Linked DNA regions of Mus musculus. The protein of the gene in region 1 interacts with the protein of each later gene in a pairwise test. Links are inferred from orthologs where the notes say so. Each region holds a gene or a part of one and is shown on either strand. Other genes may lie near its edges. The genes, in order: Gm9736 and Dkk1.

The links.
Region 2: the proteins of Gm9736 (region 1) and Dkk1 interact in a two-hybrid assay, tested with the Homo sapiens proteins (2 studies listed by BioGRID and IntAct). The two-hybrid records come from large-scale screens. The link is inferred for Mus musculus from reciprocal best matches to the Homo sapiens genes KRTAP10-1 and DKK1.

What each region holds. Positions count from the first base shown.
Region 1 is NC_000076.6:77,743,083-77,758,776, reverse strand, and holds Gm9736 (uncharacterized protein LOC77763), read left to right. Parts: upstream 1-7,353; 5' UTR 7,354-7,422; coding exon 7,423-8,256; 3' UTR 8,257-8,406; downstream 8,407-15,694. UniProt on the Homo sapiens protein: In the hair cortex, hair keratin intermediate filaments are embedded in an interfilamentous matrix, consisting of hair keratin-associated proteins (KRTAP), which are essential for the formation of a rigid and resistant hair shaft through their extensive disulfide bond cross-linking with abundant cysteine residues of hair keratins.
Region 2 is NC_000085.6:30,547,390-30,564,057, forward strand, and holds the start of Dkk1 (dickkopf-related protein 1 precursor), read right to left. Parts: upstream 2,108-16,668; 5' UTR 1,991-2,107; coding exon 1,745-1,990; intron 1,558-1,744; coding exon 1,389-1,557; intron 324-1,388; coding exon 174-323; intron 50-173; coding exon 1-49. UniProt on the Homo sapiens protein: Antagonizes canonical Wnt signaling by inhibiting LRP5/6 interaction with Wnt and by forming a ternary complex with the transmembrane protein KREMEN that promotes internalization of LRP5/6.

The DNA.
Region 1 (15,694 bases):
TGCATCTGTGGTCAGCTGTACCACTCTAGACCAATGCACATTAATAAAACTTCTCATCGATTCAGTCTCCGTAGTTTCTGTCATTCTCTTCCACCAGCTGTGTATCTTCAGTTGTGAGGCTTGGATTTGTTACACAGACCCACTTCTTCTGTCCCCCTGTTCCATGCTCTGATACTGGGATCCGGGTTCTATCTCCTCTGGGTCTGGGCCAGTGCTTTCCTGTCTTGGGGCTCACGGAGTGACTCTGATAAATCCTCGGAAAGGATTTCATTGTGAGGAAGAGGCATACCTTGGAGAAGAGGAGAGGGTTTGTCTTTGTCCTGAGACTCTGGGAAAAACTCAGTGTCGAGGCTTTACAGGAATTCCAGGACTGAGGGCAGGTGCTGTGCAGATCCTACCACCTCATCTAGGTGCTGACCCAGTCCTGGTCACCAACAAGGTCAGAGTAGAGCCTTGAGATTCCTTGACCACGCCCACAGGCTGACCACAGTCCACTGTAAGGTGCACAGACTAAGGACATTCTAGCAACTGCAGGCAGCTCACCTGAAGGGAAATCGCCTGCTCCAGCCATAGCCCACAGCTCAGGGTCACAGCATCCCATTTCTAGAGAGCACAAGGTCCCTTCTCAGGTGACAACCTCCCAGCAGTGGTAAAGAATAATGACAGCTTTCACATCTACCAGTCCTGTCGGACAGGTCTTTTAAAAGATCACCATGAGACAATAATAAAGAGTGAAGATTGGAAAAGGTAGGGGAGACCTTTGGGACACTGTCAATCATTGGTGTCAGCACCACTGGCACCCTTTAGGGAGAAGAGAAAAAAGGTAAGAGCATAGAAAATCTATACATTGATATTCTAGAAAATTCCCTAGGACAGACAGGGCTACCCAGGGAAGGGTCCAAGGTCTAAAGAACCTTAACTGGACACAACAAAGCCCTCACCACCGCACATCGTCTACAAAGGGGAGAAGCATCAAGTAGCACTTGATAGCAATCAATCAGCCCAGATCAACTGCAGACCCCTGAGCAGAGCTCTGCAGCCCAGTGCGTGGGGAACGGTGTACTGAAGTCCTAGAAAAAATAACTGCCAGACAAGATTACTAAGCCCAGCAAGGCTTCAGAATCCAAGAAGAAACAAAGAACTTCTTCAATAAACAAAAATGAATTCATGGCCATGATTCCAGTATTACAAGAAGGGATGAAGAGGGTCTTATTATGCAGAAATGTCAGAAAGTCTAATACCATTGGGATTTCCATATGAAAGTGTCAGAATACTAGAATATTATAGAGAAATAGAAATGAATCAAATATGTAAGGGTTTGTATATGCTTGGCCCAAGGAGTGGCACTATTAGTAGTTGTGGCTTTGTTGGAATAGGTGTAGCCTTGTTGGAATGGGCATGGCTTTGTTGGAGTGGCAGTGGCCTTGTTGAAGTTGGTGTGTACTGTGGGTGTGGGCTTTAAGACCCTCATGCTAGCTGCCTGCAAGCGAGTCTTCCACTAGCAACTTTCAAATGAAGATGTAGAACTCTCAGCACCTCCTGTACCATGCCTGCCTGCATGCTACCATGCTCCTACCTTGATGATGATGATGGACTGAACCTCTGAACCTGTAAGCCAGCCCCAATCAAATGTTATCCTGTATAAGACTTGCCTTGGTCATGGTGTCTGTTCACAGCAGTAAAACCTTAACTAAGACAGCCACTGATCCTATAAATACCACCTACAAAAGCCCCGGGAAAGAACAAAAGCAGCAATGAGTGAAGTTCTTATCAGGAATACCCACATCAGGAGATAGAAAGATAACACCGAAATCAAACCACCTAAGCTCTCACTTTAGCTATGCTCCCCAAGGCCTCACAAACTCAAGAATGAACCACATCCCAAACCAGAAGAAGCAAGGACTACAAATCAGGGCATAAAGAAGTCAAGACAGAGTCTGCTGCACAAGGCAAAGAGCATATGAGACCAGACACACTGAATGGCAAGCCCTGTCTACAATGGCAAACAAGGGAGAATAGGGGAGGGGAGGGGACATGACTTAAAAGGAACTAAATATAGAAAGTTACTGGTGTAGGGGACACAGATGTTTTTGTGTTCATAGTCATGCTCTCAGGGAACCTGGAACTGCATGCACTTATGGTTGTTCCTTCAAGGGGAAGAATGCAAAAACCCTTCTCCATCCAGGAGGCTGGAGCAGGTGTGTGCTTTGTGACCAGTGACTTTTGTGCCATCAGTGTGGCCAGAGATTTTTGGGCACCAGACCCTTCCTCTAAACTTATGTTTCTTAATCAATTTATAGAGCCTATTATCTTTATGGAACATATCCCATGGACTTTACAAAGGGTTTTGATGTAGTCTGATCTGCATTTTGTTTACTTTGTTCCTCCAAGGGACTTGGGTATGATTTCCTGGGAACAATGGATTAAGTTAATCATCACAAGAATTGTTTGCAATGATGGTGCTGAGTCTAAATAGGCCTAAAAGAAACAGCTTGGGGTCAGACTGACAAAGTTTGAACCAACACCAGCTACTGAGTCCTGTTTTACCCAAATGCCTTCTTGTTCTCTCGTGTCTTGTCACTCTGTTGACCCCAATGTTCTCAGAGACTCTAGCAAACTGTCAGGTTCAATCACAGAGCTGAGCAGGCTAAAGAAAAGCTTAGAATCTGGAAAGACAGGCAAGCTGAAATATTCCAGTTTGGAAAGCAGGACCCAGAATGAAGGCAGTGAGGTCCGCCCAGCCTTGCTGGCCTGCAGAATACACGGGACATAGCAAACAACCCTGGCTTAATAGGACACACAGCAGGAGAGAGTGACAAAGGATTGGAATATATATGAAGAAAACTTAAAGCAATTGAGAGCAAGATTGGGGTAGCCCAGGCTGAAGGGGGGGCAAGTTAGCATCAGATAGGGACAGGGATTTGTTGTTGTTGTTGCTTGTTTTGAGTGTCTTCTTGTTTGTTTCCTTTTACCTTTTTAATGTATTCTTTTTTTGAGATTTATTTATTTATTTATTTTACATGGGTGCTCAATCTGCATGTACACCTGCATGCCAGAAGAAGGCATCTGGTTCCATTGTAGACAGTTGTAAGGCGTTATGTGGTTCTTGGAAATTGAACTCAGGACTTTGGAAGAGCAGTCAGTGCCCTTAACTGTTGAACCATCTCTCCAGACCTGTTTTTACCTACTTTAATGTATTCTCTTTTCAGGTTCATTCATTTATTTTACATGAGTGCTCTATCTGCATATACACCTGCATGTCAGAAGAGAGCATCAGATCCCATTACAGATGGTTGCAAGTCCCCATGTGGTTGCTGGAAATTGACCTCAGGACCTCTGAAAAAGCAGCCAGTGCTCTTAACTGCAGAGCCCTCTATCCAGTCCCTTGTTTTGTTTCTAACATGGTGAACGGACTATGTAGCTGGGTGGTCATGAGAGGTCACAGTGTTCTGCAGTTCCATCAAAATGTGCCCTTTACAGATGAGATAGTAAAGCTCCAGTGTACACCATTCCAACAAAAAATAGTTGGTTTATTTCCAGAAATAATTGAAAACATTCCCCCAAAAGGACAGGGCTCCTAGAGCTTCATGTCCAAGAAGCACAATGAACTCCAGGGAGAGGAAACACAAAGATCACCCAGAAGACACACTCTGATGCAGTTACAGTGACTACAAGACAACAGTGCCAGTTAGAAACTCATTTCTCACCTGAATCCAAGGCTAGACAGCAATGGCTTGGCATACTTAAAAAATAGGGAGGAGACAGTCCACTCAGAAGTGGACAGCAAACTGTCCTTTGAACACAATGGGGAGGTGTCCACGATAACTGTTACCTACAGTCCCAAACTACTTAGATCACTGAAGCAGGAGAATTGCAAGTTCAAAGCCAACCTAGTAAAGTCCTGGTCTGAAAATAAGAGAAAATATATAAAAGCACTAAGTCCCTATAACTACTCCAACATGAAATGCTTTGGGGCATGTGCAGGAGGCTAGGCTTAATCACACAAAAGAAAAAGAAAAAAAAAAAGATCGAGAAAGTAAGGTATTTCTGCATAGTTAAGAGAGTTTATGGCTCCCAGAAGTGCTCTGCAATAGTTGATTTTTTTTATTCATAGCAGAAAGGACTTGGAATAGCATTTGAAGCCACAGGAAGACATGAGATTTGTCTACAGCTGGTTTCCAGGCTGCCTGGAGTCTGCCCTTGACACCTGAGTTCCCTCGTCTGTCCCTAAATATGGAGGTATGGTACTTGGTTCAGTGTGCTCTTCTATCTACCCCATCTTGCTCATGTAAACACACATCAGGACCCTGTTTTCCCCTGTGATTTTAGTTATTTACGGCTCCTTTTCCTTTCCTTGGGTTAAACATCAGCAAGTGTGGCCTTTTGTGGCCCCTGTCCCAATGGCTGCTTTTCCCTGACCTCCATGTCTGGCTCTAATTTGTATTTCCTGTGTACTGCTGTCTCTGGATTGTTTGTGCTTCCTGCTCCTGGTTCCTTGAGGTATGAGTTTAGATGGCTGGTCTGGGCGCTTCCTTCAAGGCTATGAGTTTCCCTCGTGTGCTGTTTATTCCCAGCATGGGTTTGTTGTGTTTTCATTTTCAACCGCCTCTTGTATCATCCAGCCTCTGCCCCTGACTCCCTGGCTATCTAAGTGTGTCTTCTATTTCTACAGATTGGTGTGAACTCTCTGGTTCTCCTTCCCTTTCCGTTTCTATTTCTTTCTGTCTTGAGGTTATACCTCATATGACCTCAACAGTTTCAAATTCATTGAGATTTCTTTGGCCTAAGCTGTTAGCTGGTCTGCAGGGTAGGGAAAGCTGATGCTGTTTCGCTTGATTTGTATGGCTGTGCACGGTATTCTCTGAGCCCTCGTTTTCCTTCTATCCCTCCTCTTCCTCCTCCTCCTCCTCCTCCTCTTCTTCCTTTTCCTCTTCCTTCTCCTCCTCTTCCTTTTCCTCCTCTTTCTCCTCCTCCTACTCTTCCTCCTCTTCTCTCTCCTTTTTCAAAAGATTTCTTAATTAATTTATTTATTTGCTTATTTATTTTATGTATATGAGTACACTGTTGCTGTACTCAGAAACACCAGAAGAGGGCATCAGATTCCATTACAAATGGTTTGAGCCACCATGTGATTGCTGGGAATTTAAATCAGGATGCCTGGAAGCATAGTCAGTGCTCTTAACCTCTGAGCCATCACTGCAGGCCTTCTATTTCTTCTTCTTCTTTTTTTTTTTTTTTTTTTTTTTTTTTTTTTGTATTGCACTACCAATGGCTTTCTGACATGGCCAGCTCTCCTCAGGGTACCAGAGCTGTTGGGTTCTTCACAGTTCAGCTTCATATGGATTGGGGTCGATGGAATGACAACCCAAACAACAGCAAACATCTAGAAAAGAATTATGAGCTCTCCTACTACCATTTCCCATCCATAAAACACAATCAGGACGAGCCCAGCAGCATAGGAAAGGATTGCACTGCACAGACAGGGAGGAGAGGAATGCAAAGCTGACTCAGTGGCTTTGTAGACCTGGGTGGTATACTTCAGAGGCCTGAGGAAACTCACATCCATCTCAATCATGGATAAAAAGATGCCCAGAAAGTTCTGACACCCTTTCCTAATAGAGACACTCAACAAAACCAACAGAATATCCTCAGTGGGAAACAAGACACCCATGAAGGCTACCCATAACCCTTTCTAAGGAGGCTACCCATAACCCTTTCTAAGGAGAGGTACAAGGTGAGGCTGTCCACGTCCACTCAACAATGTACTGGAGGTTAGAGCCAAAGCCATTAGGCAATGAGGAATATGATTACCAGCAGTAAAGTCCTTGGGGTCAAAACCATGGTGCTGCTGTTGCTTCTGCAGCAATGGTGGGTGTGTACATCAGTGGACTAAGCCCAATCACCTGATTTCTAACAACAGCACCAGGACATGCGGTGACCGAAGGACGGTCTCTCCCACAAATGTTGCTAGGACAGTCACATGCTGAACATAAGGCTATATGCTAATGCCATATCAAAAATAATTAACTCAAGATGAATCAGAAAACCACATGCAGGAGCTAAAGCTACAAAATCATAGAAAAAGGCATAAAAGCCAATCTCCTGACCAAAGACTCAACTGTGGTATCTCAGGCAAGTCACAAAAACACAAGGTACACAAGAGAAGAAAAAAATTTTTTAAAGATTTATTAATTATTGTACTTAGGTACACTGTAGCTGACCTCAGATACACCAGAAGAGGGCATCATTTCTCACCACGGATGGCTGTGAGCCACCATGTGGCCACTGGGAATCAAATTCGGGGCCTTCAGAAGAGCAGTCAGTGTTCCCACCAGCTGTGCCATCTCACCAGCCCAAGAAATTAAACCACCAAGATTAAGAAAGCACAGGGCAGCAGAGGACTTTGTTAGAGAAGTCAGTGATGATCCTCAGAACACTCACGGTCCAGGGAACCTGCTGCCCAGAACCATCAAAACTCCATGAAAGGAGAGACAACTCCATCTAAGACAAAGGACTGTCCAAACTAATTTATTTAAGAAAACAGAGCAATCCTAAGACTGGACATAGGGGAACAGGGGCCACTCCTTAAAAACAAATATACATACACATACATCACACACACATACATACACATACACATATAAACATATACTTACACATACAGAGGTCCAGAGGGGTCTTGAGCTGTGGGTATCACAACGCTATAGCACACCTCTGGGCCCAGATGTTGTAGACACTGGTCACACATGAACTTGTGTGGAGAAGTCAATGGGACAGAGGTTGTATGAGAAACTGCAGCATGTATATGAGGCAGAAAGCCCACACTGTGTGGCACAGAAGCCCTACTCAGTGCAGCAATTGCTGATCTCTGCTCACTTGTTTCTGTGAAAGTACCTCTGTCTACTGTGTCTGGGGCACCACTGAACCAAGGCTTCTGACAATATCAGGGATACCTGAGAGCAGAAGCTATAAGTGGGATGCTCTTGCAACAGAGCTGGTTCCTGATGCAGGACAGATAAGCCTGTGATGGGGCCATCACCTGTCTCCTAGCCTCAGGCAGGCTGGACCACCCCTTGAATGATGACAGGACTGGAGGATACAATAGTTAAACGCTCAGCATCATCACCAGGTACCCTGGCAGGCACCACAAGGCAGGGGGCACAGGGTCAGCCCAGGAAGTCTGTGCTTTCCCTCCAGATGTGTTTATTGCTGGAGCAACCAGTCCAACAGGAGTTAATGACTGAGCCCTGCAGAGCATCCTCCAGACTGAATAACAAGGAAATGAAAGTGTACAGAGTCTCCTGAGGCAAAACATGCCTGAAGGATAAAAGCACAGAGCCCAGAGCACCTCACACACACACACTCACTCAACACTCACACAGTCACTCAACACACACACACCCTCCTCCAGCCAACCCTGCCATGGCCACCTCCACCATGTCTGTCTGCTCTGACGCTTGCACCAACTCCTCCTGGCAGGTGGATGACTGCCCAGAGAGCTGCTGTGAGCCCTGCTGCTGTGCCCCCAGCTGCTGCCAGTCTAGCTGCTGCCAGCCCAGCTGCTGTGTCCCCAGCTGCTGTGCCCCAGCCCCCTGCCTGACCCTTGTCTGCACCCCAGTGAGCTGTGTGTCCAGCCCCTGCTGCCAATTTTCCTGCTGCACACCGTCATGCTGCCAGCAGTCTAGCTGCCAGCCAGCTTGCTGTACCTGCTCCCCTTGCCAACAGCCCTGCTGTGTGACCCTTTGCTGCAAACCTGTCTGCTGTGTGCCAGTCTGCTGTGGCGCTTCCTCCTCATGCTGCCAGCAGTCTAGCTGTGAGTCCTCTTGCTGCACCTCTTCTCCCTGCCAGCAGCCCTGCTGTGAACCTATCTGTTGTGAGCCTTTGTGTTGTGAACCTGTCTGTTGTACACCCATCTGCCCTGGACCATGCTGCCAGCAGTCTAGCTGCCAGTCCTCATGCTGTCAATCCCCCTGCTGTGTGCCTGTCTGCTGCAAGCCTGTTTGCTGCACACCCATCTGCTCTGGCTCCTCCTCCTGCTGCCAGCCCTCCTGCTGTGCTCCAGTCTGCTGCAAGCCCTGCTCCAGTGTGTCCCTGCTGTGCCGCCCAGTGTGCAGACCTGCCTGCTGTGTGCCCACCTCCTCCTGCTGTGCCTCCTCCTGCCAACCCAGCTGCTGCTGTCCAACCTCCAGTGTGTCCCTGCTGTGCCGCCCTGCCTGCTCCAGACAGGCCTGCTGTGGACAGAAGTCCAGCTGCTGATCCCAAGTCCTCCTCTGGGGTATTATCCAATGCAGGCTGCTCTCCCCCTCACCCTGCTCCTGCTAGCTCTAGCCATTCCCACCCTCTAGCCTTGACCACAGAAGACTAGCCATGGCTACCCAGCCGGTGGTTGGCCTCTGAGCCCTTCTCTGAGGCTGCCTGAATGGAGTTCCACTGACTTCTTAGGCCTCAAGTCCTAAGATTATTCCCAACTCCAGCAGCCCTAGTCTTATGGGGGCCTTATCTGACCTGCTACTATGCATATTCTCATAACCCTGCCTTTAGGAGCTGGAGAGATGGCTCAGGGGTAAAGAGCACATACACTCGCATAGGACCTGAGTTCTGTTCCCAGTGCACAGAGGGTGTCTGCTGTGAATTGTAATTCCTTTCCTAAGGACTTTGCTGCCCCCTGACAACACCTGAACTCATTTTGCACATGCATGTACAAATACATGTGTGCATGAGCTTACACACACCACACACACACACACACACACACACACACACACACACACACTCTTAAAATTAAAGAAAAATAAATCTTTAAACCTGCCTCTGTCTCCTAATGACCTGTGTCTTATGTGTGGGTGTGTATTTGTGTGTGTGAAGGGGTGGGTGGGCATGGTGGGTCCATATCTCATGCATCAAATGAAACCTAGCTCAAGGGTACAGCTGGCACTTCTCGGAGCAGCTACTTAGTATCTGAGTTTAGGACTGTGGGGGAATGACAATGCTCATTCTGTCTCCATCTTTCATGGAAGTTCTACCCTTCCCAGTGTCCACATCTCAACCAGGGCTCCAGTTCCAGCTCCAGCTATAAGGCTCAAAAGCCCCAAGAATGCCAACCTTGTACAGTCTTTTGGACGCCTCTTGCCAATGCAATCCTCCTAGATTCCAGCACCCTTCCTGCAGCCCTGGTGCCCAGGAGCCTTTCCAAGGAGCTGCTCTACACACTTCCTCCTCATGCTGCCAGCAGTCTAGCTGTGAGTCCTCTTGCTGCACCTCTTCTCCACTGCCAGCAGCAGTGGAACTGGTATCCTGTCTTGGTGACTGGCATTCCAGATCCAACATCCCACCCAGCCGGAGCACAGGGACCACTTGAGTAAATGCTGGGTGGAATGGGGTGGTTAATAATGTCAACTTGACCGGATCTGTTATCACCATGGAAACAAATTGTCAACATATGTGGTTTCTTCTCCTCAGGCCAGAAGTCTCGCTGCTGACTCAAGTCCTCATCTGGGGAACTATTCCCCACAGGCGCTTCTCCACTGCTCTAGTTATTCCCAACCCTTTGCCCTTGACCACAGAGGACTAGCTGCAGGCCTCCTTAAGGTCATATATTTGAAGGCGTGGTCTCTAGACGGTGGGACTGTTTTGGGAAGGATTAGGAGGCGTGGCCATGTTGGAGGAGGTGTGTCACTGGGGGTGGGCTTAGAGGTTTCAAAAGTCCAAGTCAGGCCCAATCTTGCTCTTTCTGTATGGATTGAGATGCGAGCTCTCAGCTGCTGTTCCTGCGCCATGCCTGTGTACCTGTTTCTGGGCTTCCTGCCATGACAGCCATGGACTCACCCTCTGAAGCTATACGGAAGCGCTTAATAAAATGTGTTCTTCTATACGTTGCCTTGGTCATGTGTCTCTTCACAGCAGAGAACGGTGACCAAGTCAGCATGTCTGGGGGAGAGTTTCCAGATCAGATTAACTGAGATGGGAATGCCCACCCTAAATGGGTGGCACCATTCTATGCACTGGGGGCCAGGATTGGATAAAAAGAAGAAGAAAACAAGCTGAATATGGGCATTCCCTGCCTCCCTCCCCCCTTCTTGACCAGTGGTGTTGCCTGTGCCCTAGACTACCTTCCTGCCCTTGGGGGTTGGAAGTGATGTGGAACAGAGTCAACAACCCATCTCCTGCACGGGGACCTAATTGAGGACTGTCTGAGAGACCAAGGATTGCCGGTACAGACAATGTCAGCCAATCAGAAACTGCTGTTTAGAAGAGATGCCTTCTTGGGACCAATGAGGGTGTGGGTAGAGGGTATTAAAGGAGTTTGCAGCCGTGCTCAGGTGAGCCTGCTGCAGCATTTCTTACCTGCTCCCAGAGCCTGTGTCATGGACTCTGTACTACCTCACCTCCAACCTCCAAGAGCAGGTAAAGTCAGGCAGGAAATAGTTCAGGGCACAGGGAACACAGTCGCCTCGTTCTCCTGACAATGCGCTGTCCCCACTGTGATGGACTGTGTCCCTGGCAACCGTGAGTCAGAATGAACCTTTTCTTCTATTAAGTTGCTTCCCGTCAGGCATTTTGTTACAGCAGCAACAAGAGTGACTGACACATGAGGTAACACCAGCTGTGCCAGCAGTCCCAGGTGCCCCACACAGTGCTTCCTGTGCTCAGGGGTCACCTCCCTTCCCCCACTCAGAAAACTACCCAAGATAACCACTGAGACATCCCAGCACCAGAGAGCAAATGACACAGCCTTGTCCACTTTCTTGGGAACAAATCTATGTGCCCATAGATAAGAGGTCCCAAAGGGCCATGATGATGGTCACATGATACTGCTGTGGTTGTTGAATGGCCAACAGGTAAGGCCCAACCTGACTGGAGGTCACACCCAACATATGTCTGCCCTTCTCACATCTGCACGTTGATGCCCAAAACACAGGACCTCACCTGCTTAGTGACCAGTATGCCAGAGGGATGCCCTCCAGTACCCGGAGAGTGTGTCCCCTGTCTCCTATGAGCCTCTTTCCTGGTGGGGCCACATTGGAAGACCGTTTCCAAAACTTTAAATCACAAGGTGACCAAAGAACTCTGTCAGGCCAGCCTCAGGTTTCATCCTGGGAGAAATGAGAACATCCATCGATATAGAGCAGTCCCCACTCAGGTTCACACTGCTAACAGATATAGGAAATTACTCAAATGTCCACAGCAGAAGGGTGGATAGATGTGTGTGGGCTGTCCACACAGGGAACATTGAACAGCTGTAGAGGAGGCAGCCAGGTGGAAGCATCGTGCTTGATGAGATGGCATGAGGTCATGTGTGGAAAACACAGCACAAGACTTCTGGGAATGGACAGCAGGGATACAGGCCAGTCAGACTGCTCAATGAATGCTGAGACAAATATCAGCATAGAGAGCTAAGGATGATATGTAGAATCAGGGGTTGAGGGTAAGTCCTCTGACTCGTGGTTCCAAAGTGTCCAGCTTTTACCCTGTTCGTTCTGAGCCTGTGATAAGATAGAAAGCCACAGAACCTGAGCATGGAGCCAAGGTGGCTCCTTTCATGGCAGACAGGAAGCAGAAAGGAGGAAGGGCAGGATGAACCTCAAAAGGCCCGCCCCCAGTGGCCTACTTCCTCCAGTAAGGCCGGAGGCCTAATGTTTCATCCACCTTCCCAAATAGTACCACCAACTGGAGAACAGGCATTCAACACATAACCTTCTGGGGACATTCTGTGCCTAAACCATGTGTCTTTTTTTTTTTTTTTTTTTTTTTTTTTTTTTAGTTTTTCGAGACAGGGTTTCTCTGTATAGCCTGTATAGCCCTGGCTGTCCTGGAACTCACTTTATAGACCAGGCTGGCCTCGAACTCAGAGATCCACCTGCCTCTGCCTCCCGAGTGCTGGGATTAAAGGCGTGCGCCACCACGCCCGTAAACCATGTGTCTTAGTGAGGGTTTTACTGCAGTGAACAGACACCATGACCAAGGCAACTCTCATAAAGGACAACATTTAATTGGGGCTGACTTACAGGTTCAGTCCATTATCATCATGGTGGGAGCATGGCAGCATCCAAGCAGGCATGGTATTAGAGTCTTCTCTTGTTCTGAAGGCAGTTAGAAGAAATGACTCTTATGTGGCTAGGAGGAGGGTCTCAAAAGCCCACTCTCACAGTGACATACTTCCTCTAACAAGGCCACACCCGCTTCAACAAGGTCACACCTCCTAATAGTGCCACTCCCTGGGCCAAGTATATTCAAAATCAATACACCATGACTGTGGGTGTCTGAGGTAGGGCAGGGGAGGACAGAAGGACCACTCAAGGGCAAGGAGCCTGGAATGAGCTACGGCACACACTGATGACAGCCAAATGTTCTGATACCCTTGGTCATACTCTTTAAGTGCTGGCACCATGGCACACCAAGCATTTCTCAAGAAAACTACCTAGTAGGAGCTTCAGGCCATCACTGGGCCCCTGTGACTAACAGTCCCATCCCTTTACCTTACACAGGATACTGTCTGAGAACATGGAACTCATGGCCATATACCCTTAATTCTGAAGGTGAACTTTGAAGTTGAACCAAATGGAGACAGGATGCAAGTCCCAGGTCAGGGCTCAGAGGATGGCTGTGGGTACCAGAGATCTTCAGATGACGGTGCTAATCCCAAAGAAGAACCACTGACCTGCCACAGGTGCCCAGGATGGATGTCACCTCTAACCCAGCAAGAGACAGACAAGCAACCTCCCACAGAGTCTCCTGTGCTGGGGTCACTTCAGCAATGTGACCAAGTGACTGGGACCCTTGCCACAAATCTGGAAGTCAGCGAAGGACTTGGACAGAATCAGAGCAGGAAGATGCACAAGTGGGCAGATGACAACCCCCCCCCCCAGGGAGCTGGAACAGCACCTCAATACACCCATGAGTGCCTGAAACACTGGGCATGGCTGAGCACCAGCCTGAGGGTTCCTCCAGCCCCAAGATACCTCCAAGGACGCTAGCCTCAGAAGATGAACCATGTGCCAACAAGAACACTTACAATAGTGTGCCATAATAAAAATAATTTTTAAAGTCCGCTGCTGTAGTAAATATTTAATTTCAAATTGGAGGTTTCTACACTGCATTAGATCATTCCGTTCTCAGACAAAAGACATAAAATTTTTATATTCATAATAAGACCTTAAGCTTTTAAAGCACTAGAGCTGAGAAGATATCTACCCTCTAAGCTATTTTTGCCTACTTTCCTGTCAATAACCCTGAGATATAATTTATCATGTTCTGTCTGGGCTGCTCTTACTCCAATTGGCCAGCCCTCATGGCCATGTTTTCATGACTCATCTACCCCACGGCATCTTCTTCAATCTCCATCTTCTCTCTCCCTTCCCATGGTCCTGCCTCAGACCCCAAACCTGGGAACCGAAACCTCACCTACCTCTCCTCTACCCAGCTATAGACTATCAGCATTTTTTGTGTCCTCTCCCCAGCCTTGAGTGGGCTGAATCAGACCTTGTTTTGTCTTCTGACCTAGGTAAAGTCTATTGTCCTGCCATATCTGCAGCTTTCTGCAAGAAGCCACTACCTGAGCAGCTGAGCTTGTCTTCCCAAGGAGAGTCTGACAAGGTGGGGGATGGGTTTCCCCCTTTTAGAAATTCAGACTCAAGAATTAAAGTTGAGCCTTGATCTGAGAACCTTGACTTGGCTCCATTATTTCTCTTGCTGTTCCTCCCATCCATCCCCAGCTTTCCTTTCAGGAGCCCAGTGACCCGTGGCCTCTCGTGACCGCTTGTGGCTACATCTTTTTATAGTTTTAAATTACAGAGCAAGGTCACATAGCATCACTTGGTGTACGTGAGGATCTTCTCATCTCCGAGGCAACCAGATCTTGGGGGCTGGTATTATTATTATGGTACATAGCAACAGACCAAACCTCAACAGCCGGCCTCATTTATTTCTGCAATTTTTCATTTTGCAGTTTTCCAGCTCTGGAAAGTGAGATCAATAGATGAGGGAGGTTGTGAACTAAGAGCGGGATGCTCTCCTAGAGAATGAGGACAGGGAGGGAGAAAGGGAGAGGGAAGGTAGGGGAGAGGGAGGACACCCAGAGTTCTTAGAAAGTAAAGCAGAAGCCCGCAGGTGAGGGTGCTTGCCAATAGGCTGCAGGATGGGTGTAGTGTGGTGAGGCTGAAGTGGAGATGTGCAGGGGAGTGGTTGGGGGGGGGGTGTGCAAAAGTGCAGGGGGGCTAAGACGCAGATCAGGAAAGCTGGAAACCAGGGTAGGTAAGGCATGAGCCAGCATCAGGAGCCAGGGAGGATGGAGTCCTGGGAATGAACAGGAGACTCAGACTAAGATGAAAAGCTGAAAAGATTTGTGAGACCAGAGCTGAAGAAACAAACCATCAAGACGCTGGGAATTGGAAGCAGGGGGTGGGGAGTGGGATTGACCACAGAAGACAAACAAGGTTCTAGAAAGAGATGAGTTCACCAGAAGACGCATCCACTCATAAGCCCAGGGTGGTGGCACACTTCTGGGATATGGAGGCAAGAGGATCAAGAGTTCAGGGAAAACCTTGGCTTACATAGTGAGACCAGCCTGGACTATAGGAGCTACTGTCTCCAAAAGAAAAAAGAGGAATTAAAAAAAAATGGAGGTATATCCCTGCTGCTCCCAGCAACCTGAGAGAACACCCAGCCATGCCACACAAGGGAAGCCAGCCCTCTCTGCATAGCTAGCTACAGGATACACAGATCTGTCGTGGTGGCTTTAGAGACTGATCCAGACAGGAAATGGCAGATATGTCTCATTGAGCTCACACTGGGAGTGGAGTACCTGGTGTGTCCATAGGATCTTAATTTTCATAGAGAGTTAAGATGACTCTCTAGAGGCAGAATGTGTCTGGAAATAAAACCAAGACAATCTCACAAGGAAGGGTATGAAAAGATAAAACTGAGGAAAACAAGGGATAGAGACACGGCTGAAGGCTTACACCATGTCTAGAGCTTGGAAGGAAAAGCCATGGAAGGAGAACTGGTTTTTAAGGTAATCCTGAGAAGAGAGGTCATACTGAAAGAATTCATAGTCCACAAAGCAACACCTAGCTCAGTCACAGGCATTCTAGAACAAGCCCAGCATTCAGGAAGGAAACAACAGACAGAGGTTGAAAGGCAGGTGAACTGGAGAAACTCCACTTGCCTCTGCTCAGTAACATGGGCACCAGAATAAGTATTGCCACCTCTGCCTTGAGGGATATTGGTTCAAAACCCAGAATTCTTGCTTGCTTGTTTGTTTTTTGAGACAGGGTTTCTCTGTGTGGCCCTGGCCGTCCTGGAGCTTGCTCTGTAGACCAAGCTGGCCTCGAACTCAGAGATCCTCCTGCCTCTGCCTCCCCAGTGCTGGGATTAAAGTGTGCACCACCACCTGGGTACAAACCCAGAATTCTAAACCCAGCCAAACTATCCTATCATAGCGGGGTGGGGTCAGGGGTAGGTAGACCAGGAGCTTCTGAATTGTGACCATTGCAGGTGTGGAATCTCTGGCCGTAGAATGACAGAAAGATGACAATAGAAAAAGCTCAGAGTCTCACTGGAAATGCTGAGTATCTCAGGAGAAATCAGGCACCATAGAAGAAGATGCCAAACCCTACGGGAGCCTGTTTCCCTTACAAAGCACAGGTGGTTCAGGGAGCACACACAGCTTCCTGCCAGCAAGCCTCTGTGTACCTTG
Region 2 (16,668 bases), on another chromosome or scaffold:
AGCCCTGCGGCACAGTCTGATGATCGGAGGCAGACGGAGCCTTCTTGTCCTGTGAAGGAGACAGAAGGAAAATTACAGTTACTGCGAGGCCTGTACCATCCCACTGAGACAATTCTAAATGCACTTCTGATATATTAAATGGGAAAGGCTGAGCCTGAAAGCCCCTTTACTACCTTTGGTGTGATATATTTTTGAAGTCAGTGTGGTTCTTCTGGGATATCCATCCCCCGCGGCGGCGTTGTGGTCATTACCAAGGTTTTCAATGATGCTTTCCTCAATTTCCCCTCGAGGAAAATGGCTGTGGTCAGAGGGCATGCATATTCCTAAGAAAACCAGAAATAGTGATTAATCCTCAGGCTGTAGTTTGTTGCTGCTAATAGCCAAGACAGGAGCAGTGGGTTATACAGACACCACTGTGAGTTACCTCACTGCTGTTGCTGCCTTTCTATTTACCAAAACTCCCCAGAGAAAGCAGTATCAATGAGTGTACTGTCGAATCGTATGGAACGCCTCAGGTATAGCCATTTTAAATGCTTTCCTACTAATTGTAGTGGAGGCAGTAGAGACTTTTCTGTCTATTTTAATATTACCCTTTGGGCTAGGAAAAAGAAATCCAGTCACTTAAAAGAAATTAATCTTAAAAAATAACTTCTCTGCTCTGGGTGCTAGCTGCGCAATGCAGTTCCGGCTGCCTGGAAGACTGCGATCTCACCCGCTAGTTACTTTACTGTATAATTTTGATATTACGGAGATTTTAGTGAGTTGACTCTGGAATGCTGCTGTAACCTAGGAAGTTAGCCACCCCTCAAGTTTATTTCTGGAGACTTCTTTGAGACATTAACATTTTGTGGATCTGTGGTTGTGTGTGTGTGTGTGTGGGGGCAGTACTTCTTTGAAGGTAGTTGAGGGTGGAGGGAAAGGGGAGAAGGGATGGAGAGCTAGGGGTGTAAGCGGTACAGAGATCTCTTTTAAAAGCTGGCCAGCAGAGATTAATCATTCTAGCTCCCCGTTGACAACAGTTGTAATAGCCTTAGAGGAAAGAGAGACTGGCAAAGCCACGCAGAGTCCACCTTAAGAAAAAAACGTCTGGCTCCCCTTTCAGAACGACCTCTCCCCCTTTCTCAAGTGCCCCAAGGCTCCCTGAAGATAATTGTTTGATGGAAGGGTCCACTTTCAGGTCTTGTTGTTAGATCACAGAGGGAGGCAAGGAAAGATAAACTTTCAAGTGCTCAAACACAAGCCAGTGACGATGTGTCAGGAGAACCCTTGCATGAGCACGCGTTTGCAGGTGGCGCCACCTTAGCTTTGACAGAACCAGAGCATTTCATTTGATTCCTGGGTCCTCAAAGGCAAGGTGGTTCTAATTTAAAAAGGAGTCCAAGACTCACCATTTTTGCAGTAGTTCCCGGGGCAGCACATAGCGTGCCTCATGCAGCGCTTCCTGCGCTTTCGGCAAGCCAGACAGATCTGTACACCTCCGACGCCGGCTGCCCCGCGGCTGGGGCTGGAGCAGTACTCGTCAGAGCCGCACTCCTCATCTTCAGCGCAAGGGTAGGGCTGTGGGAAGGGAGCGGACTGGTGAGCAACTCAAGCATCCTGGTACCCACACCTTCAAGGTCCCCATCTGCCTCTTCAAAAGCCCCTTAAGCGCGCTGCTCTTAATGCAGTGATTCCAAACACACCCCAAATCTCACACACCTAGATCTTTCTGAGACCCCCGTCGGGATCACAGCACCCCTCTTACCTGGTAGTTGTCAAGAGTCTGGTACTTGTTCCCGCCCTCATAGAGAACTCCCGGCGCCACACTGACAGCAGAGCCCGGCTGCCCCCCAGCACCACCCAGCGGTGGGGGCAGGTTCTTGATCGCGTTGGAATTGATGAGAACTGAGTTCAAGGTGGCACTGGCTCCTAGCAGAGGGAGGCTGCAGAGAGCCATCATTGTAAACACGGCCAAGAACCGGACAGCTGCCGCTGCACACACAACCATCATCTCCGAAGGACGCAAACAGGCAAAGGTCAGGAAAAGAGAGGTCACTTTGCACGGCGGCTGGCTGCAGAGTCTGGACTGCGGAACCTCAACTTCGGGACCTCCGCTGGTGGAGTCTCTGGCTGCCAGGCGCACAGCTCTGCACCGCCACCGCCACCTCTGGCTGCCTTTATACTCAGGCTCCCAGCCCTCCCAGCTCCTCAGGGAAGACAACAAAGCCGGGATGGGATTTCAAAGCTTTGGGAGGAGCTGGGAGGGGGAGTGTTTGTGTGTCGGAAGCAGGGAGGACTTTGACACTCTCCCCTCGCCCCTCCCTTGCACTGTGGTCCCCTTGTCCAGCTCACCTTAGAGTGTGGGTCACTAGAGCACTAGAGCATTAGAGCCTAGCCCAAACTTATAAATAAATAAATAAATAAATAAATAAATGGCGGGAGGGTGCACTCTGTGAGCTTGAGTGTTCTGCTGTGGGGCTGGGTTAGTTCTGTCTGAAATCCTTGTCAGAGTTAAAAGTGATAGAATATACAAAACCACGTTTCTTCTCTTCCCCATATGAGTACCCTCGCTTTCTGCGCACGCAAATAATATTCAGTATTAAATACAATGCGAGCAGCCATTCATCAAAGGTTTTGTGAAAAGCCCAGGTGGCTCCTATAGTTGCTGATTAACCCTTTAGCGTTGCGATTTGCAAATGAGGTTCTTGTCTTTTAAGTTTGTCTAGTTGCTTCCCCACTTCCCACTCCCTCCCTCCCCCCACCCAACCCTACACACACCAGGAGAAAAAAAAATGTGCAAAGACAAGAAAATTTGCACATCAAATGAGGATGCCAAGGGAAGAACTAATTCGCTTTTGATGGTGAGTTTGGGGGGGTTGGGGGTGGAGGCGAGAGACTGCCGTTTGGAAATTAAATCAGGGATGGAGGGGAGAGGGAAATAGGCACCCGATAATCAAACTATTTAATGTGGTTCTTTGAATCTGGTCAATCCCAGCAGTAGATGAACTTGATTAAGCAGACACATGAGATCAAAGTGGCTCTGAGCCAGAGCGGACAGGGTCCCTGAGCCTGGTCAGTCCTCTTTCCCTGGTTCCCTGTTCCCAGCGGTGGGTTAATAGAAGAAGATAAGAAACCCGAAGGCTTAGCTCCCGGCTTTCTCATTAGTGTTTCATATCGCTGAGCAGGAGAGGGCTTGCTTTTGATCCCAAATCAAACCTCGTCCAGGACAGGACAGGACAGGAGGAATAACCCTCTAGGGAGATAACAGAGGACCTCCTGGAAAAGAAGTGCTGAACCTAAATCAGAGAATGAATTTGAAGGGGTTTCGCCCAGTGTGTAAAATAAGAAACAACATGGACATAAGAATGCCGTGCTTATAAATTAGCGGTAATGTATGTAATAATGACTTTTATTAAAGTCAGTCTTTTATCCAACCATCACAGTGCTAAAAGAGACAGTTGTCATGAAATAACAAAAGATAAGAAATGTGAATGGATAATGTTTAAGAACAGATCGATAAATCTGAGACCACAAGCAACTGTTGTATGAGACTGAAAAGGAAGAAATGATCTGAAATCCTTGTTGGAGAGGGTGAGCTGAGATGTCCTTTGTAGCCCCTTAGCTTCTGGATCTGCTAGAATTATTCACGACACCGCTTTATCTATAATAGTTATTCTTAGGAAGCCCCCCACCCCCACAATAGCCAATGACAGTCTTGTACAAATATAACCCTGAAGTTGAGCTAGGAGGGATATTATGAACAATATTTAAATATCTGTTTGGTGGATTTCAGAACTTAAGTGTCTTCCAAGTAACTTTTAATGTTGCCTCAATTCTACCCCAAACTCCATTCATCCCGAAGAATTTCCTGTGGTTTGTTGAAAGTCTAACATGGATTAAATCCTATGTACTTATCTGGCTTTTATTAGGAATATGTGCAATTGTGTAGCAAGGCTAGTTACCCACAGATCTTTAAAATATTTGAAAACAATGAACAGGTTTTAAAATTTTGTTTAAAAGTGAATATTAGGAATAATAAAGGGGGACAAATAACTAACAATAAATCAGATTTTCCTGGCTCCACGCAGACCTACCAGTCAGTGGATCTGAACCTTGCATAGATGCCGGGAGATGGTGGAATAATGTGGTGGTGGTGGTGAGCTCATATTATCACATTCAGCATACTACTAGCAATGTCAATGATCAACGTGTTAAGTATCTTTTCCTAGAAATACACATATGTGCCACTTCTCTCCCCATATTCTGATGTAATGATGATTCTTGATTAATACACCTACTCTAAATGAGCAGAGCTCAGCTCACCAAGAACATAGGCCCACAGTTGAAACCAGGGGTGGGTGGGGGGCGTGGGTGGGGGTGGAGGAAGTTTTGGCACTTTCTACTTTTTATGTTCCTTCTGGAGGTATGAATAGGTCCACACCTGAGGCTAAGCAGTGTCCTTGTTGCTTCAATAAATAATAATAATAATAATAATAATAATAATAATAATAATAATAAAAAGAACAAGAACAGTCATCTTCAAGTTATTTAGGAAAAGATGAAGCAAGCTCACAGATGATACAGGGGGAGACAGTTGCCATTTCCTGTGCAGCCTATTCTCCATTTGTGAACCCTTGTTTTGATTGAGCTTACTTCCGGGGTGTCATAATCAGGAGGTGAAGATCAAAAGAGATAGGTGCACTGCTCCTGCAGTGCCGGAGAACACCCAGAAGAGCCCCTTAAGAGTGGTTCTCTCATATGCTGAAGGCAGGCTCCTTCCAGTCTAGGAAGCATGCAGCCTAGGAAGCATGGTATCAGGTCACAGAGGGAGTTTTGCTGTTGTTTGGCTTGGTTTTTGTTGTTGCTTTGGGGGGTCTTAGCACTTTAAGACCACTGGAGTCCGACTATGTAGCCTGCACGTTAGATTTTCTACCACAGTTTCCTCCATTGCTAGGGTCAGGGGCGTATATCACACAGTTTTTTGTTTTTTTTTTTAAAGTAGATTTTACTTGGTGCGTATTGGTCGGGAGAGAAAAGAAGAGAGGTCCAGGAACTGGAGCCACACCCCAGCCTCAGGCAGTCAGAGGTCACGTGACTTGGAGTCTCATGCAGCCAGGCAATGGAGTGCCTTGCTGTATCGATCAAACTTAGTTTAATTTCTTCAGGAGGGAACTTTGTATCTTGTTGGATATGCTCTCACTATGACCATAGTTATGGCAATACAGTTAATGTTTCGTATTAGATTTAAAGCTAGGAGGGATGTTTAGCACAGTAGAATTAAACTGTGTGTGTAACTCGAGGATAGCGTGAGACATGACTTCCTTCTGTTTTAAATGTTGGGCAGCAGCCTAGGATACCGGTCCTTCTGATTCATGAGACAAATGACAAATAATATTTAAAGACACAGAACCCTGGGATATTTGCACACTACTCTCCCACCTCCGTTATTTGGGGGTACTTCTCCTCCCCCCTTGTCTCCTTTCCCCTCCTCCTCTTCATTCCTTCCCTCTCCTTATCAAACTGAAGGTAGTCGATCTGTTCACATTTAGTTTTTGTAGTCTTGTCTTGTCTTGTCTTGTCTTGTCTTGTCTTGTCTTCTCTTCTCTTCTCTTCTCTTCTTGTTTGTTTGTTTGAGACAGGGTTTCTCTGTGTAGCTCTGACTGTCTTGGAACTTGCTCTGTAGATCAGGCTTGTCTGGAATAGAGATCTGACTGCCTCTGCCTCCAGAGGGCTGGAATTAAAGGCATGTGCCACCCCCACCCTCCCTAAAACTCTTATTGAGCTTTCAATAAGAAAACTCGAAGTAGGTGGTGGGTGTTGCCAGCATCTTCCTTGGTGCCAGCCTTGAATTAATAGCAAAGATTTCCCGTTCCTGACGTTTAATAAAAAGCATATGACTTTCTCCTCGACTTTTAAAAGATTTTTAGTTTCTATGCTCATCGTGATAGACAAGCTTTCAGACGTGACTCATGTTTGGAGTCCCTTGAAGTGGGTAGGCTTTTCTGTCCTACAAAGAGGAGCAAGTGAGTTTGGGATGCTTATCTTCGCTCTGTCCCTGGAGATGGCTAGCCTAGATAAACCCAGCGCCACAGTCACAAGACTATCTAACTCAGCTCAGAAAACGATCCTGGAGCCCTTGAAGCATAAACAGCCTGGAGCTCAGAAGTGAAGGAGGTCTGGTGAGAATGATGACAGCAGCATCTTTCAGGAGGTCCTGACTCCCAGAAAGGCCTGTGATAGGTAGGGTCTAGGAGTCCAGCTGCCTCATAATATCCCCTGTAGGACTTAATATTTCCAATCCTAAAGATAGGGCGGTGCCAGCATAAGGCGGGGCCCGGACAGCAGATATATAGGAGATGGAATTTTCTTCTGTGCCACTGGGTTCTTGTCATACTCCCTGTATCATACTGGCATTCTCCAAGGGCTGTGACCAAAAGGGCCCCTTGCCACTGCCCTGGAAGCTAAGGGCTGGAGCTCAGCAATGGACTGCAAGGTGACAACTGTCCCTTTGTGATTGTGGAACTAGCTTTCTTTTCATTTGTAAATGTCATGCTGGGAAGTCAAGGGAGCCCCCTTCTGGATACAAAAGTAGTCTTTAAGCCGTCCTGGGCAAGGCCTTTTGTCTTCAGGTTAAATGTCTTTCAGACAGCGTTATTAAGCAATACTCACTATTGTGGACCCTGGGAACTTGCTGATTTTGGAGAATGTAAACTAAGTTTCTGGAAATATGGTGAATTACGTGACTCTTGATTTTCTAAAAGATGCCCGAGCAGAAGGGAGTGAGAGAACGAATGAACAAATTAATATGAATGAGAATGGATGAATGAATGATTTTGTTTCTTCATCCCCAAATTTCCAGCTAGAACATTGTATTAGAACCTTGGTGGAAACAAGATGTAGGCTAGAAACAGTACTAACTTCTGCTAAGGGGTTGGAGCAAGGATTCTTCCCCCTTGAGAGGATCTTGGAGCTCCAAGCTGCTGTTGCACTCTCTTCCTGCCAGGGTGAGCCGCGAACCTCCATTGCCTGAGCGCTGGCTCAGGCGGCTCACTGCAGTCACAAGCCATCGCCACCTTACAGTAGTGTAAAATGAAACTTGCTTAAAGACTCTTTGATGAGAGAAGATCAAACAGCTCAGGGTCCCTGTCTTAATCAACCGTGAGCCAGGTGGCCTCGCAGAGAGCTGGATTTGGGGCTTCTGTGGACTTTGTGTTTAGCAAATTCATCAGCGTAATCCCGTTGAAGCCCTGGCCTGGGCGCAAATCTCTTCGCACTACACTGCTGCTGTGGGTCCACGGTGTCAGTTCTCGGGGCAAATAAATCAGGGTTAATTAGAAGTGGGGAGGGTAGAGGGGGAAAGGAGAGGCACAGGAAGATTTCTGCTCTGAGAGACGGTAAGTCCTCACCACTGCTAGTTCGGGAAGGAGCAATCCCGTTCCTCTGCTTCCCCCTGGTGGATCCTATCGGAAGTGATCTGGACCTAAAGTGAATTAAAAAAATAATTCTTTGGAAGATTTGTTTCATTTTGTTTTTAGAGACAGGGTTTCTCTGTGTAGCAGCCCTGGCTTTCCTGGAACTCACTGTTTAGACCAGGCTGGCCTCGAACTCACAGAGGTCCACCAGCTTCTGCCTCCAGAGTGATGGGATTAAGAGGGTATGCCACCACACCCGGGATAACTTCTCCAGCTCTCACACTGAAAACGTTTCAAAGCTAAATAGTCTCCAACTTTTAATATTCCATATAATATATAGTAAATCTTCGCATAATAGAATAAGATAGGATAGCGTCTAACCGCTGTCTAAAGACTAAGGAGTTGGGGTCTGGCACAGAGGCTCTCAGTGAAATGTTTATTCAGTTAGGTTTAATTTGCACACCAGCATTCCTCATTCCTGGATGAAAACTTAGGCTCTTCAGATGATAAGTACCACACTTAAGGAGAATCCTATGCTGCATGTATTTCAGGAAAGTTCATTCATCTATAACCATTTTTTATAAAACTTTTTAGAAAATGAAAATATGTCATTTGTTTCAATGAGAAAATGTTAATTTCAAATTTTCCACTTTTTTTAAAAAAAGAATATTATCTAGGAAGCTTATGAAAAATACAAGCAGGTAATAATTTTGTGCCCACTCATGTTTTCCTTTTTTAAAAAAATAAAAGCTGTTGGAACTTGTGTGATAAATCTTTTAAGCATGCAACTCAATATTTATAATCTACTAAATTTTAGATATAACAAGTGCCAACTATAGAAATCACACAGCATTGTTTTCATATTGGGCTTTAGATTATGTTTTCTAAGAATGGTTTTAAAGAAGTAAATTGACCTTCAACAAAAGAACTCGAGAGGTTTTGTTTTTGTTTTTGTTTTTTCTTCCTGTTGTTGCTTGGGACAAGGTTTTGCCATGTAACCCAGGCTTGTCTTGACATGGCAATCGTCCTACCTCAGGGTCTAAATGCTGGGGTGACAAGCCCGTGCCACCTGAGCTGGCTTCTCACTGATAATTTCATTAATCCCTGCCCACCTTTTTGGCTTGAACTCTGTGTTCCATCAGTACCTCCACAGACTGCTGTATCAAATGGCTCTAGTTATAAGAAAAGCCACTTTCACGTAAGCTGCAAGCCGGAGAAAAGAGTGAAAAGCAGTTTGCAAGGTTCAGGAGCTTGGTGGGTTCAGCTTAGCTGCAGATGTCCTTAGAAGGTACAGGAGCGGTAAGGAAAGCTGACTAGCCTTCTGTGAGAACTGGCTTCCTTTCTTTCCTCCTAACGATGTGAGAGGAAGACTGAGGCTAGATATGTAAGCCCTAAGTCCTAAGGTTTGCCTTTTTCTGTGCTTTTTGTTGTTGGTGTTGTTATAGATTTAAAAAAAAAAAAACTTTAAACATTGTTATCTTAACAGCAGTAAAAGACAAAAACAAGAACCAGAAACCCACGCAACATATTAATTCCCACCCCAAAGACCGCACAGTGCAGCGAACATAGAGTAGCCATTGGAAACAGAACTCAAGAGCTTCACGTCTTACGCTTCCACTATGGATATATTTTTTATTGTTGCCATAAAAAAAATCTACAATAGAATTGGAACAAGGAAACCATCAGCTGTGCATCAGCATTCATAACTCATTCTGTCCTTCTTCACCCCTCACATTCAGCATTTTTGACTCTCTTGTTGTATGCTAGATGGCATCTACATGCAAACTTGTTTACATACACACACATACACACACACACACACACACACACACACACACACACACACACACACACGCACTGTCATTAGATTCTGCATATGAGGGAGGATGTGGCTTTTTTTCTTCCTGAGATTGTTTGGCTTCATATTACTCTAGACTCTGAGTACATACATTTTTTTTTTTTTTTTTTTTTACAAATTTTGTGGTTTCATTTTTTTTTCCTTTAGCACTAAGTAGTATTCTATTTTACACACATACACACCAAATTTTTCTTTCTCCATTATTGTAAAGGTCATGATTGATAGGCAAAGTCAGTTTATTTGAAAACTTATCATGCTCTTGCTTTATGATGTTTGAGATTAGAAAAATGGAAAGGTGGGACGTGGGTAGAGAACTGGCTCAATGGTTGTGCACGTAGAATAATATAATAAATCCAAATAAAAAAGAGAAACATAAATAAGAGAAATTTTCACTTTCATGTATGGGAAAAACGAGGGAAAAAATTGAATATTTTGTACTGATCTGGCTGGTACAAAGTTGAACAGACCTCTGAGGAGGAAGTGAGGGTGACTATAGGAAAGATAGAAAAGCGATGCAAGAGACAGATATGGGAGGGCTGCAGGTCAATACCACACTAGAAGTGAGTGTATTTCTCTTAGCCTTCATATATTATGGTACCCTGGGAAGGAAAGCCACAAGCTAACAGAAACAAGTTGCTAAACTATACACAAGGCATTTGTTCTCAACCAACCCCCAATTCCTTCCACCGAGGTCAATAGAATCTTAGCCCCTCGCCCTGAGCCTCAGGTGCACACATCCTTTTCTCGGTCTGTGTGCCTTAGCAGGCCTGGAAATCTGCCAACAGACCATGACCTGCCTTGACTCTGCCCGGAGGTTCTCTGTCTGTCTGTCTGTCTGTCTGTCTGTCTCTGTCTCTTTCTGCTTTAGAGAAGAGGGCAAGCAGCTCCCGACAATACTAGGGATAGGAAAATGGCTCAGTGGTTAAGTAAGGTGCTTGACATGAAAACATGAGAATCTAAGTGCGACTCTCCAGAGCTAACCTAAAATGCAGGTGCTGGAGTAGGGAGCTAGAAATGGTAGTCTGAGAACCAGGCAGGCAGAGGCTGGAGGATCCTGAAGGTGGATGGATGGGCAGCCAGTTTAGCTGAATCATTGAGATTCAGTAGTAATGAGAGACCTTATCTCAAAATATAGTTGAAGAGAGACTGAGGAAGACACTAAAAATCATTCTCTGGCCTCCAAATGTATGTGCGCACACACACACCAACATTAAATAAATAGGTGAATGAGTAAAATATATTTTTTTTTATTTTGAAGATGATGACCAGGCCAGCTCAGTCAGTCAACCAGGTCTCAAGGGAGGGAGGGAGGGAGGGAGAATTGAAAAGAAAAAGACAATTAGACAACATTATAACATGACTCCAGCCAGTGCAGAGGCTGAAGTAAATTTTTTCCCAGTCTGCTTTTATAGCATTTTAAGTACATGCAAATAACAAGGTCAGTTCTAGGTCAAGGAACAGACAAGGCAATAAACTCAAATAGTTGAGGGGCTTATGATGACCAAGACAAAAGGAGTGCCACACATTCCTGGGTGGCTGGGCCCACTCTGAGCTTTGCCTTAACCCAAATGTAAATATTCTCAATATGAGACTATTTCCTGAGTCCTAGCCCAAAGTCAAATTCCTGCCTGAGTTTAACATCTTTGTTCTAGTCCAAAGTCAGATTCCTGCCTGAGCTTACCTCCTTGTCCTGGTCCAATGTCAAATTCCTGCTGAGTTTCTAGAAGTGGCCCCCAAAGCCCTCCACAAGATAGTGAAAGAGGTTGTCAATTAAAACTTTCTTTTTCTCTACAACTGTTTTTCAGAAGCCCTTTGGGTGTATGACTCTTTTGTTTGTTGTTTTGAGAGTGAGAGATGTAGCAGCCTAGGCTGGTCTTGCATTTCTAGTCCTATACCTCCACTTCCAAAATGGTGGGATAAAAGGCCTGTGTCACCACACCCAGGTACAGCCACGGTTCTTAAATATCCACTAAACTAAAAGCAGCTTTCCCTTCAACTTTGAACCCAGCCCTGATTTTATTTACTGTGGATTTTTCTGAACACTCCCATCATGAGCCAAAGAGATGATCTCAAATGTAATAGTAGTTTGGATTAGAATTTTTCAGTTTATGCCATGAAAGAAATACCATTCACTGAAAAGCTTAATGTTTGGCTCTAGATCTTGCCTGGGCTATCAGGACCATTGGTAAGATGTGCAGTGTACAGGAAGCTATAACTCCCAGTCAGTCATGGGGCCACCAGGCAACCGACCAGCACTCCACAGTTACATGGACTGCTGAGCCATCACGTTAGGTAGTCGTTTACATTATGTTAGGTGCATTTTGGGTTTAAAGTAATTTTCAGATTTTACTGTGTATTAGGTGCAGTTTGGATTTATATTATTTTCAGATTATGGTAGTATTACTGGGCTTCAGCTTATTTGGAAGCCCAAGAGCAATTGTCAGAATTCTCTAGGGAAAGAGAACTTGTGCTGGTTAGTCTTTGTCAAGTTGACACAAACTAGTCACCTGGGAAGAGAGAACTTCCACCGAGAAGTGCCTCCCTCGGGTTGGCCTGTGGGCATGTCTGTGGTGCTACATCCACTCCAGTAGTGACTTGCTTGACAGGTTTAGAAACCTGGAAGCAGTCCTGAGGCGAAGAGTCTCCTGGAACTGTGGCATCCCATAGCATGTATGCTCCAATTTTGTCCTTGCAAATGGATCTGTGTGCTTTCTTTCAGTATTGTTTTATTATAGGTGCCTCCAAGCAATGACTTGCCAAATACCTAAGCAAAATTGAACTTTGCTTCCTGGCCTTCACCAATGCCGTAGGTAGTCCTTGAGCTGACCCTGGGCTTTGAATTCAGTAAGAATGTTAACTATTCAGTGACATTCAGAATTGCCTCTAGTATTGTAAGAGAGATAGTGAAAGAAATCAGGCATTACTATCTACTACATAGAGTTAGAAATCTCAGGGCAAGCTTAGCAAAGTAAGTTTAGAATTCTTCTTATAGTTATGTGTGGCAGACTACATTACTTATTAGTAGAAAGTCCCCCACACCATCACTTAGAATAAAAGCCAAGTCACTCCCATATACAGGAATTTACAATGGTTTAGGAAGTAGATCGGGCTGTGGTTTTAGAGTATTGCATTATTCATGAGAAGGTTAGCTAGAGTGGAACTCCCTAATTAGAACCATGACTTGGGCAAGAGAGCCCTTGCCCTGGAGTGTAAAGACCTCACACCTGGCTTCTAAGACTATTGCTGACCTTAGATAGAGCTGACTTTGTCTCAGTTGTTTTATTGCCCAGTTCCTGCCAGCCTTTGTGTTTGCATTCCTGTTTTGTGTATGAGTCATTAAGCATCCAGTAACCTCATTGTATCTTGCCAATGTGTCACCTACCTTCCCTATTTTCTTCTGTATAAAAAGTCTGATGCTCAATTTGACATTACATTCAGATTCAGCACAGTCCCTTGTGTCCTGTCTGTTTGTTACCCCATTCTCACCGACTCTATGCCCATCTGTCTGAGACCCTGATCCCCACAGATTGAGGGGGGGGCGACTGGGCCTGGTCTGTGGCACTGTGGGGTTGTTTTCTTGGTTAACAATTGATGTGGAAGGGTCCAGCCCACTCTGGGTGGTTCCATACCCAAGAAGGTGGGCTTTGGTTGGATAAGAAAACAATCCAGTGAACAGTGTTGCTTCATGGTCATAGGTAGCTATGGACCCAAAGCCCAATTCTAGGCTAGAAAATGTTCTCATACAAAAGAGTTTTAACCAGCCACTCTTTCTCCTCATTCTTAGAATGTCAGCTCATTAACCTGTGGTATGTTGTCAACTTTTGGGGACTTTTGGAAGATTTTCAAAAATTATATCCATAATACACACACACACACACACACACACACTATTATATAAAACTACAGAGATGGCTTCATAGTTAACAGCACTTGTTGCTCTTCCAGAAGACCAGATTTTGATTCCAAGCACACACATTTCATCTCACAGCCATCTGTAATTCAAATTCCAGGGGGTTCCAGAAACTTCTTTGACGAGGGCAGAGAGATACATTTATCTTTTGGTTTCGAACACAGAAATGATGCTGTTTTAGGAAAGTAGCAGTAGTAGACTCTCCTCTAGAGTGCATGACATCGGCAGCCACAGGTAGTTGGCTGGGTATAAAGTAACAGGCACGAATACCCTCCTTTTGAGTGGGGCTTAAGTCCTATTAGATGACTGTTGGTTGCTCACAAGGTAGATATTGCATCCTTGAGTGTATCTTGCAATGCTGGTCATTCTCATGGCTTGTAGGCTCACACTGGGCGAGAAGACTGCCAACTACTTTTCTTCCTTGGCAGCATGCAAAGCACCTTCAGCTACTATGAGAGCTAGTCCCCAGGGAGGAGGCCTCCAGGTCCATTTTAACCCAACTCCTCCAAGTCCTGTGTCTGAAGTGTGTGATGTTTTCATTTATAGGGCCTCACCTTCAAGTTCTGGGAGGCAACCAAGGGCAACAGTGGTAGCTTATGCTGTTTTAGAAATCTCTTGAACTCCACTGATCAACTGGAATGGAGGTTTTGCATGCCTGGTACTGTCTCCCCCCTCTCTCTGTGTGTACAAATCATACCTTGTGAAGATTATACTATGTCTATTCCTCTCCTTCTGTATGGGTTCCCTCCTTTTTCTAATTAAAGATACTTTCTCTGAAGAGAACCATTAATTAGTAATCTAATGGCAAATGTTCAGGCCTGAATACATACACACAAGTTACACTATAAAGACTGAGCATGTCTCTGTGTGTGTGTGTAACAACAATTAATGCAAAAATAGGCCATAAGTGATGTAATTTATTGTGATCTCAAGATTTTATTTATTTATTTTTCCATTTTTTATTAGGTATTTAGCTCATTTACATTTCCAATGCTATACCAAAAGTCCCCCATACCCACCCACCCCCACTCCCTTACCCACCCACTCTCCCTTTTTGGCCCTGGCGTTCCCCTGTACTGGGGCATATAAAGTTTGCAAGTCCAATGGGCCTCTCTTTCCAGTGATGGCCGACTAGGCCATCTTTTGATACATATGCAGCTAGAGTCAAGAGCTCCGGGGTACTGCTTAGTTCATACTGCTGTTCCACCTATAGGGTTGCAGATCCCTTTAGCTCCTTGGCTACTTTCTCTAGCTCCTCCATTGGGAGCCCTGTGATCCATCCATTAGCTGACTGTGAGCATCCACTTCTGTGTTTGCTAGGCCCCGGCATAGTCTCACAAGAGACAGCTACATCTGGGTCCTTTCAATAAAATCTTGCTAGTGTATGCAATGGTGTCAGCGTTTGGATGCTGATTATGGGGTGGATCCCTGGATATGGCAGTCTCTACATGGTCCATCCTTTCATCTCAGCTCCAAACTTTGTCTCTGTAACTCCTTCTATGGGTGTTTTGTTCCCAATTCTAAGGAGGGGCATAGTGTCCACACTTCAGTCTTCATTCTTCTTGAGTTTCATGTGTTTAGCAAATTGTATCTTATATCTTGGGTATCCTAGGTTTGGGGCTAATATCCACTTATCAGTGAGTACATATTGTGTGAGTTCCTTTGTGAATGTGTTACCTCACTCAGGATGATGCCCTCCAGGTCCATCCATTTGGCTAGGAATTTCATAAATTCATTCTTTTTAATAGCTGAGTAGTACTCCATTGTGTAGATGTACCACATTTTCTGTATCCATTCCTCTGTTGAGGGGCATCTAGGTTCTTTCCAGCTTCTGGCTATTATAAATAAGGCTGCTATGAACATAGTGGAGCATGTGTCCTTCTTACCAGTTGGGGCATCTTCTGGATATATGCCCAGGAGAGGTATTGCTGGATCCTCCGGTAGTACTATGTCCAATTTTCTGAGGAACCACCAGACTGATTTCCAGAGTGGTTGTACAAGCCTGCACTCCCACCAACAATGGAGGAGTGTTCCTCTTTCTCCACATCCACGCCAGCATCTGCTGTCACCTGAATTTTTGATCTTAGCCATTCTGACTGGTGTGAGGTAGAATATCAGGGTTGTTTTGATTTGCATTTCCCTGATGATTAAGGATGTTGAACATTTTTTCAGGTGCTTCTCTGCCATTTGGTATTCCTCAGGTGAGAATTCTTTGTTCAGTTCTGAGCCCCATTTTTTAATGGGGTTATTTGATTTTCTGAAGTCCACCTTCTTGAGTTCTTAATATATGTTGGATATTAGTCCCCTATCTGATTTAGGATAGGTAAAGATCCTTTCCCAATCTGTTGGTGGTCTTTTTGACTTATTGACGGTGTCTTTTGCCTTGCAGAAACTTTGGAGTTTCATTAGGTCCCATTTGTCAATTCTCGATCTTACAGCACAAGCCATTGCTGTTCTGTTCAGGAATTTTTCTCCTGTGCCCATATCTTCAAGGCTTTTCCCCACTTTCTCCTCTATAAGTTTCAGTGTCTCTGGTTTTATGTGAAGTTCCTTGATCCACTTAGATTTGACCTTAGTAAAAGGAGATAAGTATGGATCGATTCGCATTCTTCTACACGATAACAACCAGTTGTGCCAGCACCAATTGTTGAAAATGCTGTCTTTCTTCCACTGGATGGTTTTAGCTCCCTTGTCAAGATTTTATTTATTTATTTTATGTATATGAGTACACTATAGCTGTACAGTTGGTTGTGAGCCTTCATGTGATTGTTGGGAATTTTATTTCGGACCTCTGCTCGCTCCGGTTGGCCTGGCTTGATTCCCCATTCACTCAGTCCCTCCTTGCTCCAGCCCAAAGATTTATTTATTATTATAGATAAGTACACTGTTGCTGTCTTCAGACACACTGGAAGAGAGTTTCAGATCTCATTATGGGTGGTTGTGAGCCACCGTGTGGTTGCTGCTTTCTGCTTGTCCTGCTGGGCACCATTCTGCTCCATCATGCCTTCCTGCTTTAATGGCCTGATCTCTTGGAGACATCAAGGTTTGAAGATTTCCTTTAAGTTCTCTCTCTCAGGTGCTGGTCACAGTAATAAGAAGAGTGACTAATCAGGATAGGACACATTTAAGGCTGAAAAGCTGAGTAGAGATCTGTAACTAGTAGGAGATTCTTCTCTAAGACACTGACTTACTGACGCTGACTCCCATGAATAACTGTATAATGACTTGACTCTACTGATGTGATAGTGGGGGAGTGGCCAACTCTAGCCTTTTATTATGTCATTTGTAAGCATCAGTGTCACAACACACTGGGCTTAACACGGTGGATAATTTTAAAAAAATAAGAAATGAATAAAATCATTCTTAGAACTATGGTAGAAAAAAACGGGTAGATATTTCCTTCCAGGTTTTGACTGTCTGAGAAAGTTACTGGACTGGGTATCTGGTTTTCATAAAGGATATCTAGTTTTCATGAACTGTCACTAGTCATCCAAGCATGTCAGTGGGAT